Linked DNA regions of Arabidopsis thaliana. The protein of the gene in region 4 interacts with the protein of the main gene of each other region in a pairwise test. Each region holds a gene or a part of one and is shown on either strand. Other genes may lie near its edges. The genes, in order: AT2G22760, AT1G20910, TCP3 and ATE1.

Region 1 (3,957 bases), on a different chromosome or scaffold from region 4:
AAAAAATATTATATGTTATCCAGATTTCGTATCCAAAATTTTCTAACAAAATCTCCATTTTATAATTCTACTGACCTTTTTAAAAGGCACTGTTGTGACTTCATTTCAAGAGATACGTACCAAATCTTTATTATCAAATATATCGTGACGATAGACATGTACACACATATAATTGTAGTACGCATTACTACGGAAAGAATATTCCAAGAGCTTACCAATTCCATGCCGCATACATTGGCGTTTATCCTAAGTTAGACTTAGGATTCCTAACGTTCCGAATTTGCGTTGGAGAGCAAGTTCCTGATCTGCTTACGGAAAAATATATTCAAACTCAAATTGCGAATGCCGAGACCATTTCAATTTTTGGGTTTTTGTCGAAGGGATGATGAGCAAATTAAAGCTAGTCCACCTTTTTAATAAAATTGCTTGTGAAGAAGAAACAATTAGGTCCAATATTACTAGAGACAAAGGCAATTTATAATTTTAATATTTTTGGTACTGTTTAAAAAAAACTATCAGTACCAATTGAACAATTTCTAATTTTGATATTTATAATTTAGTTAAAAATATGTTTGTCATATTAATTCTTTTTTTGCTCATATTAATTCATTATCCAGTTTTTTAGTCATTACATTTTTATTTTTTTTTTGTTTAGTCATTACATTGAATTAGTCGAATCAGTACATAATCGTTTCATCAGAGAACTAGTGAATTAAACCGACCCAGACTAATTGGAAGCCTTAATTTTGGATCTTATATTGTAGGCATATTAACTTTTTAATTTTCTTACATAAATCCTTCATATGAAATGTTTGTTTTTAAATGGCCATGGCCCAGAACCATTGCATTTTTGGGCTGGATAGTGGATGTATATGTGAATTCGTCATCATACCAACCTGGTCTGGCCTCTTATTAGTGCAGTTAAGACTAAATAACCCGTTTGGTAGGGAGTAGGGACATTTATTATGTCTGGGGTCGTTATCGCCTTATCGGAATCAAATTGAGTTTAAAGACAAAACAGTATGATCGATTAATTATCAAACACAACTTGTTTATAAATGTATAGATGTCGACATCCACATGGTATCATAACTTCTTCTGCAACATATCCCTCGATATCATATCCACCATTAATCTAATTTATTGCAGTATAACGAGTCGAGATATGTTCATGAATTTTCAAACTCATTAAAAAATTGTTGTAATTTTTTGTTTCGTAAGTAAATTTTGTTTTTTTTCTCTTTCAATTTAACAATGTAATTTTCTGGATGAAAAATTTGCAAACGGTATAAAACTTAACATTTCATATGATTTTTTTTTGGATAAAATTACAATTAAAATAATAAATAAAAGATAATAAAGTATAACTTTTGTATATTTTCCTTTATAAAAAGTAATGAGGTTGTTAGATGGACGGGAAGACGGGGACGAGGCTTTACAGAGTTTTTCTATATCCTTGTTGTTTCCGAGTGGGAATAAGCTCAACACCAAAAACACGTGCTTATTTTATTTACACGTCTCTCTTCTCTTACTTTTTTTTTTTGGGTCCATAACACGTAGTTTTTTTTTTTTCAAATTCATAACACGTATATGAATCTCAGACCACTAGAAGCCAACAAATTATACGATCATTATAGACAATAATGAGAAGACTTCTAGTTTCGATCATAATATGTTTAGTTTATACATATACGTCACGTTTTATGCATTATATACACAATCTGGTCAACATAATTATGGAGTGGAGAAAATAATTTAAGCCGCGTCTCGTTGTCGAATATATAGTAAGAATACCTGAAAACACTTTCTATTCATAAACCCTTTACGACAAAACAATAAAGACGTCTCTCGATTTATCTTTGTCTTAATCAGGAAACTATTTGACATTTCTTTATCGATTATTACTTCATATTCGGGTATGGATGAAGATTTTTTCTTACCCGATTTCTCACTAGTAGACATTGATTTCGACTTTAATATTTACGAAGAAAATAATTTATCACCTGATGAATCTTTATCAAATTCACGAAGAGCTGATCAATCGTCAAAGTTTGATCATCAAATGCATTTTGAGTGCCTCAGAGAGAAGCCAAAGGCAGCGGTGAAGCCTATGATGAAGATCAACAACAAGCAACAACTGATTTCTTTTGATTTCTCTAGTAATGTTATTTCTTCTCCAGCCGCGGAGGAGATCATTATGGATAAATTGGTTGGTCGTGGAACCAAAAGAAAAACATGTTCTCATGGCACAAGATCTCCGGTTCTTGCGAAAGAACATGTTTTAGCCGAGAGAAAGCGCCGTGAGAAGCTTTCTGAAAAATTCATTGCTCTTTCAGCTCTCCTTCCCGGGCTTAAGAAGGTATTGCAAATTTAAATTGTAAATTATCGATAAATTTGTTATATATTTAACTATAGATATTTTCATAGTGAAGAAAAAATAATAATTCATCAGTGTCAATTGGTTTTGAGAATACAAAACTATCTTGTGGTTTTTTAGGCGGACAAGGTAACGATTCTTGATGACGCGATCTCGCGTATGAAACAACTCCAAGAACAACTAAGAACGCTCAAGGAAGAAAAAGAAGCAACGAGACAAATGGAATCCATGATTCTTGTAAAGAAATCTAAAGTGTTTTTCGACGAGGAACCTAACCTATCATGTTCTCCTTCAGTTCATATTGAATTCGATCAAGCATTACCAGAAATCGAAGCGAAAATTTCTCAAAATGACATTCTCATCCGAATCCTTTGCGAGAAAAGCAAAGGGTGCATGATCAACATACTAAACACAATTGAAAACTTTCAATTGCGCATTGAAAATAGCATCGTATTGCCATTCGGAGACTCGACTCTCGACATCACAGTCCTTGCACAGGTGATCATTAATAACTATATATATATGCAATACTAAAATGGATAACTCGTAGTTCATCCAATATAATATTGATGTATTAATGAAACTGATAATCTACAATTATGCTTTCTTAACTTTTTGTGTGGCAGATGGATAAAGATTTTTCGATGAGTATACTTAAGGATCTTGTACGGAACCTGAGACTCGCAATGGTTTAGGTCTTCTTTCAAGTTTTAGTAACCTGAGACTGTACATTGACACAATCGTTTCGTGGATTTGCTATCGTTTTCTTCTTGAGATTTTTTCACACGTGCCCACATGTTTGATGTGTTTTTTTAGCAAAGCTATTTCCGATAACGACCGTTGAGAATTAATTTAGATGTAACATTTTTTGTTTGTTAATAATGAATTTAAAATATAACAGAATTGTTTTTTTATTAAGTGGCAGAAATAAATGTGGCCTTATCCGCTGTCCAAAAAAAAAAAACAAATGTGGCCTTATCCTTAGCATGGTCGTAATGCCTTCTGACTTGTTAAAGTATTTTGTAATTATTGACAAACCCTCTTCAATTCTTAATGAAATTCACATTCATGTCAACAAGAAACATATTGTAGAAAGCAAACCTTTTAACCAATCAAAAAAAAAAAAAAAAAGGAAAAGAAGATTGCTTGACATTAAAAAGATATTGTAGAAAGCAAAATTACATCGAAGGTCAATGTTACAAAATTCTGAAATATTTACGAAAAAATAGTAGGGCATGAAAATGGATTAAAAGAATTAACTTAATTATCTATAGTTTTGCCCCAATAAAGATATACAATTATAGTTTTCGTAATTTATTTTGAAAGTTTCAGTAGTTAGCAAATTCAACAACTTAGCTACATTTGCTTTCGACAAAAAAAAAAGCTACATTTGCTCAAAAAAAAATGACGCTAAATTCAACCAAATTTATTACTATTTACCAATAACTATTTAGAAGTCATAGGGCAAGGGCAGTATCGGAGGGACGTGACCAAATAATAATTGCCGCACGACGCGGTACGATTAAAAGCCAATTCAAAACCTTTGAGTACCACCTAACAAAATCATTTCTTGGATACGT
Region 2 (6,783 bases), on a different chromosome or scaffold from region 4:
ACATGCAATTGAGCTACACCAAGTTGAGAATCAGCAATAAAAAACCTTTTTTGATCACTGTGAAGTGTGAACCTTTTTGCATGATTAAAGAGAAAGAAAACAAGTTGAGAATAATGTTTCTTGTCTTAATACTGCAGTATTTTCTGATGACTCAAAAACTAGAGTGAGCTTCAAAACTTTTGAACCTTAAATTTTCGTCATGAATTGATGATACATATATATATATATATATAAACAAGTAATGAACCTTTTTTTCTTTTCTAAATCATATATTCCCGATCATGAACTTTTTAGATTCAGGGAAATGTCAATAAGTTTTTTGCTGTTTTCGTTTTCCCTTTAATAATATGCACCACCAATATATGCATACTTTCACTTTCACTTTTTGAAAACAAATCATCTCAGGAGAACTTTTGAAAACCGAAACGCATGAGAACCTAAAAGTATACTATTGGAAGTAGAACTAGTAGATGGGATAGGCAAATCTATTCATCTCTATTAAAAAAATATGTATAAGAAAAGCATAACATTCCGATTTTAGATCAAAATCATCATTGTTGGTTGCATCCTAAATGTCTTTGGAGCAGTTTCTCCTACTAATCTCAAATTATACAAAAGAGAAATATTACAGTAAGATCAAATGTTTGTTGCATGTTCCTAACTTCAGTCTTCAGATTCAAATCACAGTTACAAAACTGCTTCAGCCGCCTAACAATTTGGTTCTGAAACATATGAATTCCTAGAAGAAACCACGAACAACTGACCAGCTCTCTTGAAATCCATTACTGCTCAAACGGAACTCGTATGAACAACCGTCCATGCATGCTCATGACCGCGGATGTGTGAAGCGGATCAATTCTTGCTGATAAGTCAACAATCTGGTGAAAACATATCAAAATGACAGGAAGGTTCTCAGTCTCTGTATCAGTTCAGTTAATGGACATATCTGGAATATAGAAGAAAGTTTTACCTTTTTGAAGGGTGTAATCCCCCAAGGATTGTCAAGCTGCTCTGGCTGGCCTGTTATAACCACCTTTCCCGCAGGATCTGATTGAATTCGAACCTGAGAAAAGACAACGTATGTTCAGTAATTGGAACTATGTACTGATTTTACCAGAAAATACTTATTGCCTACAACACTGTGTACTGAGACTATGAAACTAAAGCCAACGGATCTGCTTTGGTAACCTACCAAATCGCTTTGTGCTTGCTTTGTATTGTCACAGTAATATGCATTCAAACAAAATTAAAAGACAAGGACTTATCAAGTAGCCTTCAGAGACAGGGTTACAAAGGAGTGCTCACCTCTTTGCGAAGAAGTCCAGGTACCAAGGCAAATATCTCGAAGGAATCCTTCTGTGAATTCAAGAAAAAGGAAAACAGATTTGGTAAGAATTCCATATTGGAAACAAACATCCAGTTTGCAAGTTTTTGGCGTTTCTTTAGCCGTTGGCAGAAGTTACTCACAGATTCTTTGACATTTATCTTCACCCAGTCAGCAACGGGTCCAACATCAACAACCTCAGCAGCCAACCTATCATGACAAAAAGGAAACCTTAACGTTAATCTATAGTAATATGTTCAGGTCCAGAAAATGCTACGTTTTCATCTCATTACTGCTAAGAGGCATTGAAAGAAGAACCAAAAAACTAATATAACTATCTTAGAATTGCAAATAAGAAGGAGAGATCAGCTTTCCGTAACTGTTTGTCAGCTTCATTTGTAACAACATGGTCCATGCTAGTTTGTTGTTTGTGTTTTTGCAGCCCTGAAAAAACCGTTTAAAACATAACGTTAAGCAACCCTCGTTGACAAAATAGCAAAGCCTTGAGAACTATTTTGTACCAATGCTTTTGAGTTTCTTGTGCTTTGGGGTGGAAATTAAGCCCTTATCCTGAAACAAAAGGAGAACATCATTTTACTTCCGAAATAAAAAACGACAAAAGAAATAAAAAGTCTTCTTCTTTCTACATGTGAGTCAGATTCCTTGGTGCATGAAAAAATTCTGCATAATGGAATCACAAAGTGCAGTAAGATTTGAAGTGAAACCTTAACAGCAGGCGCAGTAACCTCTCCAGATCCAACAAGGCGCTGCGCATGCCAACCTTGCATAGCACGAGCTGCAGAATCTCTTCGTGCCCTGCCTGACCCTGAACCTTGATGGCTACTTGGCTACAGCAAAGTCCTTGTATCAGGGAAGAAAAAAATATGGAGAAGGGAAAAAAAGGGAGGCACATGAATTTTCGTTTAGGTTTTCTGCAACTTATATGGTAATTTACTGGGTTATGCACACGGATTTCTTATGGCTTTTGTATCGAACACAAAATGGCTACAGCTTTCTTCAGTCAGATTGCAGATAGTTGGGTTTAAAAGGTTTAGCTGGTATTACATAAATGCTGAAAAATAACTCTTATGCTATCATTTCTTCAGTATCAACGACATTTAATCACAGTACATGAAACCTTCCCACAATAAATTGACAAGTAGATACTCTTCATTAATTTTACGGTGCTAGATCGATCTTCATCCAAACTTTCCATATCTACCATTATTTCTATATATTATTCAGTAGTGTCTAAAATCCAAAAGCCATTTTTTTAGGGGAAATTCATACCTCTTTCTCGACACTGGAAGACAGAATCAATGTTGAACCAGGAAGGTTAAGCTCACCATTATTCCTTAAACACTTTTCGTACTCCAAAAGTGCCTGCAATTGAAGCAAAGATATAGATCATATGTACCTGTATCTATATGATAAGATAGAAAGAAAACAAGCAGTGCATTCAAACTTCGAAGTGACAAAAGAATAGTCCAAAATAAAGAGCTACCTCAGCAAGACAAAGAATTAAACTAACTATTATAACACACCATACTAAGAAGAAGCACAAGGAGAATTGTCTGAAGTGGATAAGTAAAAATGAAGACAGGATAAATATACGATACTTATGCACAAAAACAAACTCACCTTCTCATAGAAATTGCGGAATGTGTAGGAGACTGTTGTGCATGTCCTGAATAAAGATAGTTTAACCAAATGTGGAAAAAGATTAGCATTATGAAAAATTGGTAAAGACTAACGGAGAGTCTAAGGAAAATATCAGCCATACTTGGGAGGATTGAAGGATTCTCCAACTTGCCGCCACAGCTTATTTGTGGTGACCTACATTACCATGAAAAAACAAAGGAATCTTAAAGACCATAAGTCCAGCAGAAGATTAAGAAAACATTGAATATATAATTCCAAATATAGCTAACAACAGTAAAATAAATCAGTTTCCCAAGAAAATATCGAACATTCTTTAATGTTTGATATGTTCGCTTAAAGTCATAAATCTTCTCTGAAAGCCACATCGTTATAGATACTCTTATCATAAATTAGCTTACGGATTCAATAGTTATACCCTATATACAGTTCATATGCCATCCACAATTCAAACAATAAAATGTAGGTGATAATCATACGGGCCAACTTAAATAACCAAGACTTATAAACTGACGAACTAAAAACGATATGGTTTTGGATAATTACCACTTCATAGCCACCTAGGTTCACGACTGCTCGCCAAAGCCTACATTGGATGCAAAAGTGAGGCACTGATTAACCAGATATATGGGTTTATTAAGAACAAAAGCACCACTTTTCCAACAACTCACTTGAGAATGTTTAAAGGCTGTCCATAAAACTTAGGAGGTTTAAATTCCAGGAAACTCTCTTTGTAAAAGGCCTCCACTTCTCTTAGAAACGCCACTTGTTCTACCGGTGTCCCTGCTTCATCAGTTCCCTGTGCCTGTAGAGAAAGGTGAACCAGTAAGTGAACAATCACCACATAATTTTCGACCACAAAACAGTGAAATCCAATCCTGAGAAAACAAAAAGACACAGGCTTTTTGAGCCAAATTGAAAGAAACATAGCCTAGTACCTCAGAATCCAGCAGCCAAGTCTTCCTCTTTTTGGCATTCTCACCTTCAGTCTTAGGACTCAACATTTGCACCCTACGAGTCTTCCTTTCAGAGTGGTCAACAACTCCAACAGCACCACCATTCATGCCATGACCATTATTAGCCTGACCATCTCCAAGAAGAAGGGGCTGCGGGATTTCACTAGGGTTGTGATCATTTTCTGGCTCCAAAGGTTCTTCCTCTAAATACTTTGTCTCAACAAGGGCACCAAAAGTCACATCTTGCTCTTGCATTTCGGTATCCACCATCTTAAGCTTCGATTTCTGTTGTGGAGTAGTCAGTCACAGCAAGACAAGGACAAAAGAACAAATCCAGAAGAAAAAAACGAAGAAGATAAAAAAACTGTATATAACTAACTATTGGTGATTCCAGATTAAACAAAAAGGAATTGTCTTTCTTCTCCGCCTGGAAACTATAGCTTCTCTCTCTCTCTCTCTTCTATCTCTAAACGCAATTAAGAATTGGAGCAAACTCACTCACTCTATTACTACAAAACCTCATCCTAATCAAAACTACCACAGATAAACAAGCCGAGAAGACCTTTCAGCTTCCATAGAATACAGAGAGCAGCAAAAAAAAACATATGCTTACCAGTTCTGCAGCGACGGCGACGGCGAGTAAAGGTTGGTATGAGAACGCAGGGACTCCGACGGCGCGCTAGGGTTTAGCAGCCGGAGAAATTGAAAGAAGCTGGAGGAAGAAGAAGAAGAAGGAGATACAGAGAGAGAGCTGAAAAAGGAGAGACAATTCGAAAGAGGAGAGACAATCTTATGTTAATGGAGGAAGGTATTAGTAAAAAAGATGGGATGGGGGATGTTATGTGGTTTTTAACTTTAATTTGTTTTACACTCAAAAAGTAAACAATTTCTTTTCTTCTTTTTGTATCTATTAGTCTTTTTAGACTTTCTTAATTTTTGGTAAATATAGGATTTGTAACCTTTTATTGTTGTTGAATGTTGGGATTTCTACTATATGTAATAACCACGAAAGATAAACATTGAAAAAGTTTTTTTTTTTTTTTTGCCAAAGGGTGTTATTATATATATGAAACATTGTACAAAACATATATACATAGAAGAAAGGAGCTATATGAAATTTAGGTTTACGAAATTACGACAACGATTACGGAGGAAACAAAGAAGATCGAAATTAGTATAAATACGATACAAAAAATATTAAAAAACTTAGGTTTATAGAAAAGTTTATGAATTAATTTTATATTTTTAACAAGAAGTTCAAGATGATAATTAAAATATATGATGTTGAGACTTGGAAATAAAATTTAGGTTTCATGATTTGGAGTTAAGATGTGAAAACTATATCATAATGGAAATATCTATATATACATGTTTGGAGGGGATTTTTGAAGATAATGTTGAAGATTTGAGCCATAATTCAACAATTAATTCAAATGGGTGGGTTTTACTCGGCTTAACTCTGTTCAGATCCTGGATAACATGTTTAATTCAGTTCTGATCTTGGATAACATTAGTTTTTGGAAAAGTTACCTAAAAACTAATAATTAAAAACGAAAATTAATGATTTAATTACCAAATTTAATATAAACAATATCTCTAAACTAACCATATTTCTTATTTACCTTAACTAATTTCCTAAAATATTTCTACCTAATTTAAACATAAATATATAATTCTTCTTTCAATTTTATTTGATCTTATACTTTATTTATTTTGAATTTATATAAAATATATATAGTTAATAAAATATTATATTTTTTTCTGAATATGATGTAATTCAAATTTTTTAAAACGGACATATATTATTCAACCTATGAAGAAATAATATGTGTACAATGTCCAACATCGCTTAGAAAAATTGGACAATGGTTCAGACCCATATTATAAAAGGACCAAAATGATTCTGATTATGAATGAGCATGAAGCTTGATTTATCAGGCGTCCAAAATTAAAATAGTTATCCGATTTTACTCGGATTTTTTATTTTAAAGAATTAAAACTTTAAAATGTTTCAAAAAATTATAAATATTATAACTTTATCAAATGTTAAATATTATAATTTTAAAAACTTTTTATAAAGTTTATCTTTAAAAAATGCTTTAAATATTTATAATTTTAAAACTTATAAAGTTTTAAAAATTATAAATTGAATTTTACAAGAAATTTAAACATTACAAATATAGAAAAAATATATTAATACGAGATGATATATTACAGGAAAAATCTTAAAAATTGGGTCGATATTGTATTTTTTTAAGTTTCAAATTTTATAATATTGAAATTTATAAGAAAATGACAAAATTATGTTTAATTTCACGGGACTGGATTATATGGTAGGACGGGTTTGGGTGGATAATAATTACGATTTTAGAATGTTCTATATCGCTTAAAAAAATTGGACAATGGTCAAGAGCCATACTATAAAAAGGACCAAAATGATTTCGATTACGAATGAGCATGAAACTTGATTTATGAGGTGTCCAAAATTAAAATGGTTTGTTTTACTAGGGTTATTTATTTTAAAAAATTGAAACTTTAAAAAGTTTAAAAAATTATAAATTAAATATTACAAGAAATTTAAACAATATAAAAGATATTAATACGGGACGATATACTGCGAGAGAAATCTTAGATATAACACTCAAAATTCAATGATGAAGTTTGGGTCAATATTAATCTTTTTTGAAGTTTCTAATTTTATAAATATTTAAAATTTATAATAAAATGACAAATTTGTGTTTAATTTCACGGGACGGGGTTATATGGTGTGACGGGTTTGAGTGGATAATAACATGGGATAGTATGCTATGGAAAAAAACATATAATAACAATCATAATATAATT
Region 3 (4,203 bases), on a different chromosome or scaffold from region 4:
GGAGTGTACTTACTGACACACATGCGATCGAAAAACACTAAAAGCCTATAGGGTATATTCGTAAATTTATTTAGACTACACTTGGTTGAGTAGGTGCAATGGGAAACATTTATTTGAAATTTGATTCCATCTTTGCCTTACATATCGATACGTCATCTTTTTATGTGTGCATTGTCATTATTTGATGATCAAGAATATGGTACCAAATACATTATATATCAGAAAAGTTCGTATGACTACGGGTATTTAATTAAAAATACAGTACATGCATGGTCGGTGTGTATAATGGAGAAGTAGTTAGAAAGAGAATTTGTGGTAATGACAAAAAAATGGAAAACAATAATTGATTGTGTCCTAAACCAGTGAACCGTGCGATATTTCGTGCCTTTAAATTTGATGTTGCATGTCGTAGAACGATGTTTTGATAATTTCTTCTCTTGGGAAGGTAAAAGAAAAAATTATGGATTCAATGCAGATTGGCTCGATGAGTAGGAAACGCACTTACAAAAAACATAAATCTCCTATCTACAATCACATATTTCTTCTTATATCTCTCTTGAAATCTCTACATGAATCACACCTAAAATGTTCATATTTAATCACATACCATACTTGTATTAGTATGTCAAATGCTCGGGATTTCCTTGTTAACAAAAAAGAAAAAAAAAACTGATTGAGTTACCAAATTACGTATATATACACATTTTTATCTTTGTTTAAAGGAAATTCAAGTTAATTTTAAACTAAAACTATGTACAAGTATGTATCTCTATTATTTTCGTTTTCCATCTGAAACTTTACTACGTTTGGTTAATTAAAAGTGGGATTGACGAACAGTGGAGTTCGAGAACAGATAGTGGAAAGGAGCATAGACAATGGTTGATTATAGGGATACTGTCGAATCCTACGGATACTGGTGATGCATTTTACAGGGTGTAACCTCTAAAACCAATACAATTTGATTCGATGAAAATAATACTTTATTTGTTTAAAATAATACCATCAATATTAGTTTATACCGCCCAATTATTAGTGTCTCCAACTCTCCAACAGATCTAAAAGCTTTACTTTTTAGTTTTTATTATAAAAGAAATCTTCTTGTATTGTCTTTTTTTCCAACAACCCAAAACCTTTACTACCTCAAAAGTTCTGTATTAATATTTTCTAACACAGTACAGAACAATCTTTGACTTGGTAAAATTTGGGTTTATTAGTGCTTATAGTTTCTATCATCTTTAACAAAAAAAAATAGTGGTAGTCAGAACCAAACCTAAGAGGACTATGTATATGTGTTGATATTCTTACAGTAACCTCTACCAAAATATATCCATTGTAATGTATATAGCTAATACAATTCGAAATGTCATGTAAAATATTTCCACATGATGAATCGGACAAAAGCTTTTTGTTTTTCATTTAGAAAAACCATAAAATATATAATATAAAATAAGAAAACACTTTAAAAATGAAATAAAAGCACAAGTGATGATGATGAGTATCAGAGAGCTCTTTTTATGACCAAACACACTCCTTCCATTACCATTTCCCTCTCTTCCCCAAACCCCAAAATCTCTTCCTTTTTTTACCGTTACTGTAAATTTTCCGGCCAGAAACAAAAAATTAAAAAGAGCTTTCCTGGATTCTCGTTTAGTCAATTCCACATCTCTCTATCTCTTCTCTCTCTTCTTGCTTCCTCTGTTTTTGCTTCTTGAATTCTCAGAAACAGAGACAAATTCTAAAAAAGAAACAATCTTTAGACAAAAGAAGAGAAATTTAGTCATGGGTTAGTCTGCAAAATTCAATTACGTCTTCTTCTTCTTCTTCTTCTTCATCTTTGATTTGTTGGCGTGTTTAGGGTTTGGGATTTGGAGGAGAGGCAAAATGTTGAATTAAATAAATCGAACGACTCTGGATTCCTCGGCGGTTAACGACCGCCGTCGCCGCCGCCGTCATAATCCAACCACCACCACCATCAACGACCTTGAATTTCCACAATATGCTTCATCAATGGCACCAGATAACGACCATTTCTTAGATTCTCCGTCGCCGCCTCTTCTAGAGATGAGACACCACCAATCAGCGACGGAGAACGGTGGTGGTTGCGGCGAGATTGTGGAGGTACAAGGAGGTCACATTGTTCGGTCAACAGGAAGAAAAGACAGACATAGTAAAGTATGTACAGCGAAAGGACCACGTGACCGGCGCGTGAGACTCTCAGCTCCGACGGCGATTCAATTCTACGATGTTCAAGATAGACTTGGTTTTGATCGACCAAGTAAAGCTGTTGATTGGCTTATTACTAAAGCTAAATCCGCCATTGATGATCTTGCTCAGCTTCCTCCTTGGAACCCCGCCGATACTCTTCGTCAACACGCCGCCGCTGCTGCTAACGCTAAACCCAGAAAAACCAAAACTTTAATTTCTCCGCCACCGCCACAACCGGAAGAAACAGAGCATCATCGAATCGGAGAAGAAGAAGATAACGAATCGAGTTTTCTTCCGGCGTCAATGGATTCTGATTCGATAGCTGACACTATAAAGTCGTTTTTTCCGGTAGCTTCAACGCAACAGAGCTATCATCATCAGCCACCGTCACGAGGCAATACACAGAACCAAGATCTTCTTCGTCTCTCGCTTCAATCTTTCCAAAATGGTCCACCTTTTCCTAATCAAACAGAACCTGCTCTGTTCTCCGGCCAGAGCAATAATCAGTTAGCGTTTGACTCATCGACGGCAAGCTGGGAACAGAGTCATCAGTCACCGGAATTTGGAAAGATACAGAGACTAGTGTCATGGAACAACGTCGGAGCAGCTGAATCCGCCGGAAGTACCGGAGGATTTGTGTTTGCTTCTCCGTCGTCGTTGCATCCAGTTTATAGCCAAAGTCAGCTTTTATCACAGAGGGGTCCCCTTCAGTCCATTAACACACCTATGATTCGTGCTTGGTTTGATCCTCACCATCATCATCATCATCATCAGCAGTCCATGACCACTGACGATCTCCACCATCATCATCCCTACCATATCCCTCCCGGGATTCACCAATCTGCTATTCCAGGCATTGCATTTGCTTCAAGTGGTGAATTCTCCGGTTTTCGTATACCAGCACGGTTTCAAGGCGAACAAGAGGAGCACGGCGGCGACAACAAGCCGTCCTCTGCTTCATCCGATTCTCGCCATTAAACAAGTTCCAAAAACACATAAGATTGTGCAACACAACAGGTTTCTTTTCATATTCCAGGTTTGAAGTTTTTCGAAAACAACACCCATTTGTGAAAGTCTTGTCTTTTAACCATTCATCAAATTGATAACTTACATTGTTTTTAACGTTTCAGGGCGCTTCGAATGCGTGGAATAGTGAAGGCGGTTTTCGTTGTTGTGTGTTTCGAATATCCAAATGGCCTATAAATCTGATCAACAGTTTCAGGTTCTTCTTAAGTCTTTAAAAGCCTAGGCCTTGGTTAATTTGAATTCATCTTGTATCAATTAGAGAACGTTCTGTAAGTTCAATTCTGTTTTACAATGTTTAGCTCTAGCTACATGAGCTCACATCTTGTTTGTTGTAACTTGTTCTACAATTACTTGTCCTTTATTTATGTTCTTGTGTTGGAAACCTTTAACCCCACTTGAAGCTAAAGTCTTTTGTTTGCCCTTTATTCCATGTGGGTTTAATGCTTTCCCCAAGAAATATCTCATTTTGTTTGCCAATCCCAAAGAGGAACAGTGCTCTATCCATCTACATCAATCATCATATTGTTTGGTTTAGCGTTTATTAGAAGTATTATCTTCCCAATCTCTGTGGTTATAAACTTTCTTTTGACTAGCAAATGGAATTTGAAACAATCATTTCTCTTGTGTTTCTTAGTCTCTTCTTTTGGCCCCATAGATGAAGAGTCACTTTCCATAGACAGGGTTTGCATGTGTTGCTTCTTTTGGAGTTTAGAGTTTAGAATTATGGGTTTCTTTTAAAATTTGTTTAGTGGATGCAAGCTCTGATACTTAGTAAGAGTTTTGGCCCATGATCCACGGATCCCTATATAAATATCAGAGAAATGGTTTTTGACTTCTTTTCATAGAATCTTCCTCAATACTAGATTTCAAGATTTTATGAAAAAGGAGCAAAAGAGAATTTGATGTCTAGTGTCAAATAACTGTCTACTTTAAACAAGAGTGTAGGAGATCCACCGAACTTGAGTGTGATGT
Region 4 (5,403 bases):
AAAGAACGTAAAAATAGATTCAACCAAAAAAACTTTGTTACAATGAATGCTTCGATTTGTTTGAGTGTTTTTGATAAAGAATGTTGACAACAGAAAAAGAGTTTGAAAGGCTAGCCGAGATCTTGTTCATGAGAATGTTCACTATTTTCATTAACCTTCCCTTCTTCCCTCGGAGGAGGGTCCGCAACCTATATACCAAGGAGAATCTGATTTAGATTTGAAACTAGTACTACATAAGTGAAACTGAGTAATTAAGTGAAGATTAATAACCTCAACAGATATTCGATAAGTATCAATGAAACACTTGTTAACATATGTGATAGCATCTTGAGCTTCTTGTTCAGTACGAAAGCCAATATAAGCAAATTGTCTACTTTTGCCATCACTGCAAAAGCAAAACGAAATATAGTGACACAAGAATTAGCTGTGAAAAACACTCGATTTGAATGTACCTTTTACGCTTCAATTTCACGTCTGCGATTTCTCCTTTTCGTGAAAAGACATCTCGAAGTCGTTCCTCTGTCACATGTTTGGAAGGAAGATTCTTAACGATTATCCAAGACCTGTAATTTACAGAAGGCCGAAACAAAAAAAAATAACTTGCCTACATTGATTGTTTTCTGCTAAACCTAATTAGTTAAAGGAAAAAGAAAACTGTTGTGGGAAATCAATACTTACATTCTCAAGTTAGGGTTTCTAATAGACGAAGAAGATGGATTTTGTTTCCTTCTTGCAATGTTTTTGAAGACTCTAAGAGTGTCGGACTAGGAAGAAGAAGAAGAGGAGAGGGGTTTTAGGTATTTTGTTGTTCCTTCCAGACCCGGCCCTGAATGGAAGCGGGTAGGGTTTAGGACACTTAATGACGAGAGGAACTTTCCATACATGCATCTTAGTCTGTACGACGAAGTTATTGTATTTGATCACGTGCAAAAGGTATTGCTTCTGTTACCATATTTGGTAAGTACATGTTTGAAGAACCATATAAGTCTTTGAACCAGAAGCGTTGCCCTTGAAGAATTAGGTTTTATATTATATGTTTTTCGGATATGAGTTCATGTTTTCAAGCAGAGACAAAGCTTTTCATTTCTTGATTTTGTAAGATTTACATTTAAGACTCCATCAATGAAAGCTGTGATCATAATCACTTTGACAAAAGACAAAAACAGAGAAACTTTAGTGTTTGTTATCGTAATCAACGATCTCAGAATCGGTAACGGATCTGGAGTTTTGCACGATGGAACGTCCAATGGAATTGATCCAATCTTCTTTCTCCTTCTCCGAATCAGCAATGAAGTACATAGTCTCATTTCTCGTCGATAGCTCGAACGCGTTTTGCTTGTTGAGTACATCCTCTGCTCCTTTAGCGGTTAAGCACGATTCTACGGGGACGACACCGCGAGGGCGTGACACACGCGTGACGTCGGAGTCTTTGAACCAGAAGAGTTTCCCTTGTTTGAGCACGAACCATCGGCGTCGCCAAGTCTTGATGTACTCTCCTTGTTTCGTGAGCCAGCCGGTTCGTTCTGGGTTTGACCAGAACTCTACGCCTCCGTAGTCTTCGGAATTGTTGTTCTGACCGCCGATTACTGCTCGCCACAGGCTTGCCATCTTCCGAAGATTGAACTGGAGAATTAGGGTTTTGATCCAAATCTGCCGATGCTATCGAAAATCTGTTTATCGATTCCATTATTTTTTCGTGTTTATCTTTTGCCCCAAAATGTTTTTATTTTTCATTTTCTTCCCTTAAAATATTTATAATTACATAACAACCCCTTCATTTTGCCAATTGCATAACAGTCAGCAACAATGTTTTAATATTGAAAAAAAAAGTCAAATGTGAAAGAAGATTATGTCTTCTTCTCCAAACGGAAAGAGCTTAGCAAAATTCTTCTGAATGAATAATCGGCGATTATGTCTTTGAAAAACGATGCGAGTAGTAGCCACGACGGTGGAAGCAACAGAGAAAGCGTAATCGATGATCATGGCCGCCGTAAAAGCACTTGCGGCTACTGTAAATCCCCAGCTCGGTCCAGTATCTCTCACGGTTCGTTTAATTTTGCTTTTCTTACGGATTAGGTTGTTGAATCGATCGATTAGAGTAGAATCTTCTCGAATTGCTCATATGCTTGATAAGAATTGATTTTGTTTATGATCTTAAAGTTCCAATGAATAAATGATTGATAAACATAGTGAATGTCAATGCAGGTTTATCAGCACAGACTCTTACCGTTTATGACTACCAAGGTTTGTTGCTATTATTGGACTCTATGTGTGATGAACCAATTTTGTTGACAGAATAGAGATCTTTTATGTATCTTTGCTTTACTTTTCTGTAGCTCTTATTGACCGAGGCTGGAGAAGATCTGGTACTTATCTTTACAAACATGAGATGGATAAAACGTGTTGCCCTCCTTATACGATACGTTTGAAAGCAAGTGATTTTGTTCCTACTAAAGAGCAGCAGCGAGTTTCTAGAAGACTAGAAAGGTGCATATAGCTTCACTTTGCTTCTCTTTTTGGATCAATAGATGAAAGTTTTTGTGGTGTTAGTTGTTTCATGTTATTGGCTTAGTCGGAAAGGTTTTACCTTTGAAACATGCATATGAGGAGAGATCTATGATTCTGATGTGTAAATATTCTTCACGATCTTCAGATTTCTCTAATGAAGTCGTTCATTGAAGAGCTTCCTGAATTTTCTTAATAATGTTTTGTCAAAGGTTCTTGGATGGCAAACTAGATGTGCAGCCCAGGGAACAAAGAGGTGCTTCTTCCTCTGGTGATGTTTCAGATACAAGGAGAAAAACACTTGGAGCTGCTAAAAGTGAAGAGAATAAGAAAGTTGAAGCAGTTATGGATGATTTGTCTAAAAATATTGACCAAGCTGTGCAATTATGCATACGGAGTGGGGAATTCCCGTCTAATATGCAGATACCAAAAGCTTCAGTGAAGAAGGTTTTCTGTGCTAGAAGAAAGAAACTAGCTGAAGGAACAGAACAAATCTTATACACCAGCAACATTGCTTTTCCAATAGCAGCTGCAATAAAACGCATCCAGACATCTGAGAAAGAGGGGATAAATAGTGCAGAAGGAAATAGATTATCACCTGAAACTATTTCTGAGATGTTGTTGAGTGCAATGCATAAGGTGGGGGAAACTCCTGATGTGTCTATCAAAGTCTGTAAGGGCCATATCAATTTCCTTTCATCTGCCAAAGATTCTTTTTCTGATAGAGATGTTGTACCTAATGGTAACATCTCGAGAGGAGCCAATTCTTTAGATGGAAGTGAAACCCTTCACGCTAAGAAGGATTCAGAAAACCATCAGGCAAGAAAGCGAAAGCTGGAGATACATTTGAAAAGGTCTAGTTTTGATCCTGAAGAACATGAGTTATACAAACGGTATCAGCTGAAAGTGCACAATGATAAGCCAGGGCACGTTGTAGAAAGTTCATACAGAAGGTTTTTGGTCGACTCTCCTTTAATAGATGTTCAACCTTCAGGTGATGAAAAGGTTCCGCCTTGTGGCTTCGGCTCTTTCCACCAACAATATAGAATTGATGGCCGCCTAATTGCCGTCGGGGTTGTAGACATTCTTCCTAAATGTTTGTCAAGTGTATACTTATTCTGGGATCCAGACTATGCATTCTTATCGCTCGGAAAATATTCTGCCATTCAAGAAATTAATTGGGTTATAGAGAACCAAGCTCGCTGCCCTTCTCTTCAGTATTACTATCTTGGTTATTATATACATTCCTGCAGCAAGATGAGATATAAAGCAGCCTATCGTCCATCTGAGCTTCTATGTCCTCTCCGTTTCCAGTAAGTTACAACCAAACTGAGTCGTATATTTTTTTACTCTATGCCTTAGTTTATCATTGATCTCCTCTCATATGAAGTTCTGGTACTTGTAAAAAGATATTTATGTCCTCTTCTTAGACATGTCATTGAAGTGAAGAGACTGGTAAATGTAAGTTTTTAACACTCGGAGTTGTGTTTCCAGGTGGGTTCCATTTGAAGTAGCAAGGCCGATGCTTGATAAAAAGCCATATGTCATATTGTCCGATATTGCTATTTCACATAATCAATGTTCTTTACTAGCTGGTGCTTCTGAAACTCTCGTGGAACCAGCAGCAAGTGAACATGAAGACATGGAACAAGGGGAGACGAATGATAACTTTATGGGCTGCAGTGATGAGGATGAAGATGAGGATGAGGATGATGATGATGATGATGATGATGATGAGGAAATGTATGAGACTGAATCAGAGGACTCTCATATTGAGTCAGACCCTGGATCCAAAGATAACGACATTAACAACATCCTTATCGGTCTTTATGGATCCCAATATAGATACAAGGTACATCAAACTTCTTCTTCTTTTTTTGTTTCTTTTTGAATTATCATAGCTAATTGGGTATTTATTGAGCATTATCAAACTCTCCTCATATTGATGACAACTAAACAAAAAAAAATGGATTTGGAAGGAAATGCGGCAGATCATAACTCCCGTAGGCAGGAAGCAACTGGAACCGATGTTACAAAGCTACCGCAAGGTTGTGGGCGCTGAGCTTTCAGAGAGAATGGTGTATGAAATCAACTGAAGCTTCAACAATACCAAGCTCCATTGAGCTTTGGTACCATTAGTCATTAGATAAAACTCAAAATTGTTTGTATTCATGTTTCAGTTGTTGTATATCTATGACTATGAGACTTGTACATGGTGTCTTTCTTTAAGTTTGTATTTTCTGATTACCTTTATATTGAAAAAATTTCTGTCCAAGAAGTTGAAAACTAACTTACTGTTCATGAAGTAGTTTTTGTCAATCTTTGGTACGTACATATGGTTTTGTTATGCTTTTTAATTTTTGCAAGAAACAAACTACAAATAGAGAGGTTTTATTACGATAATAAAAGTTTATAATAATAACTATTGGGAGATATCCAAAACTATATTATTTGTAATATTATCGAGCTACATATCAGCAATTCAGCATTACAGATATAAATGTATAAAAAATAGTAAAAGGAGAAAGGGAATGAGGAGGAGAGAGGCGCACGTGGGGAGGCCTGACAGTGAAAAAGAAAGGCAAAGGCCCACACGAGCAGATTTCAGACTTTGGGAAGTGTTAAGTAAAAAAGAATAAAGGTTTTTTAAATTTTTTTTAACATTCTCAGAATTTTTGCAGCAGAACACTTTTTACCACATCTCTCACACGTGTGCCCCTCCTCGTCTTCCGTAATCTTCTTTTTTTTTCTTGACCCTTTTGACCGCTAGCTACTTCTCCTACTAGGAGTATCTTCTTCTTCTTTTTTTCTTTTTTAAAATGTATTTGAAACTACCAATTTAAATCCAAAGAGTTTTGAAGCTTTTCTTCACAACGACACAAAATCTAGTCACGACCC

What was found.
Region 1: the proteins of ATE1 (region 4) and AT2G22760 interact in binary tests that used the Arabidopsis thaliana proteins (3 or more experiments, as listed by UniProt).
Region 2: the proteins of ATE1 (region 4) and AT1G20910 interact in binary tests that used the Arabidopsis thaliana proteins (3 or more experiments, as listed by UniProt).
Region 3: the proteins of ATE1 (region 4) and TCP3 interact in binary tests that used the Arabidopsis thaliana proteins (3 or more experiments, as listed by UniProt).

The regions. Positions count from the first base shown.
Region 1 is NC_003071.7:9,676,094-9,680,050, forward strand, and holds AT2G22760 (basic helix-loop-helix (bHLH) DNA-binding superfamily protein), read left to right. Parts: upstream 1-1,750; 5' UTR 1,751-1,918; coding exon 1,919-2,359; intron 2,360-2,497; coding exon 2,498-2,875; coding exon of another isoform or gene 2,876-2,911; exon of another isoform or gene 2,912-3,003; coding exon 3,004-3,072; 3' UTR 3,073-3,409; downstream 3,410-3,957.
Region 2 is NC_003070.9:7,276,427-7,283,209, forward strand, and holds AT1G20910 (ARID/BRIGHT DNA-binding domain-containing protein), read right to left. Parts: upstream 4,811-6,783; 5' UTR 4,553-4,810; intron 4,225-4,552; 5' UTR 4,210-4,224; coding exon 3,922-4,209; intron 3,789-3,921; coding exon 3,655-3,788; intron 3,570-3,654; coding exon 3,530-3,569; intron 3,161-3,529; coding exon 3,108-3,160; intron 3,012-3,107; coding exon 2,966-3,011; intron 2,708-2,965; coding exon 2,615-2,707; intron 2,173-2,614; coding exon 2,050-2,172; intron 1,895-2,049; coding exon 1,846-1,894; intron 1,769-1,845; coding exon 1,705-1,768; intron 1,535-1,704; coding exon 1,468-1,534; intron 1,357-1,467; coding exon 1,306-1,356; intron 1,064-1,305; coding exon 971-1,063; coding exon of another isoform or gene 893-970; exon of another isoform or gene 879-892; coding exon 783-878; 3' UTR 517-782; downstream 1-516.
Region 3 is NC_003070.9:19,849,240-19,853,442, reverse strand, and holds TCP3 (TEOSINTE BRANCHED 1, cycloidea and PCF transcription factor 3), read left to right. Parts: upstream 1-1,717; 5' UTR 1,718-2,007; coding exon 2,008-3,183; 3' UTR 3,184-3,241; exon of another isoform or gene 3,242-3,242; intron 3,243-3,335; 3' UTR 3,336-3,655; downstream 3,656-4,203. UniProt on the Arabidopsis thaliana protein: Plays a pivotal role in the control of morphogenesis of shoot organs by negatively regulating the expression of boundary-specific genes such as CUC genes, probably through the induction of miRNA (e.g. miR164). Participates in ovule development.
Region 4 is NC_003076.8:1,712,148-1,717,550, reverse strand, and holds ATE1 (arginine-tRNA protein transferase 1), read left to right. Parts: upstream 1-1,819; 5' UTR 1,820-1,911; coding exon 1,912-2,044; intron 2,045-2,205; coding exon 2,206-2,244; exon of another isoform or gene 2,245-2,336; coding exon 2,337-2,487; intron 2,488-2,717; coding exon 2,718-3,818; intron 3,819-3,999; coding exon 4,000-4,357; intron 4,358-4,484; coding exon 4,485-4,601; 3' UTR 4,602-4,881; downstream 4,882-5,403. Other genes in the region: AT5G05720 (RNA-binding (RRM/RBD/RNP motifs) family protein), read right to left, coding at 156-188, 271-385, 453-563, 679-680; AT5G05710 (Pleckstrin homology (PH) domain superfamily protein), read right to left, coding at 1,174-1,608. UniProt on the Arabidopsis thaliana protein: Involved in the post-translational conjugation of arginine to the N-terminal aspartate or glutamate of a protein. This arginylation is required for degradation of the protein via the ubiquitin pathway. Component of the N-end rule pathway with ATE2 and PRT6.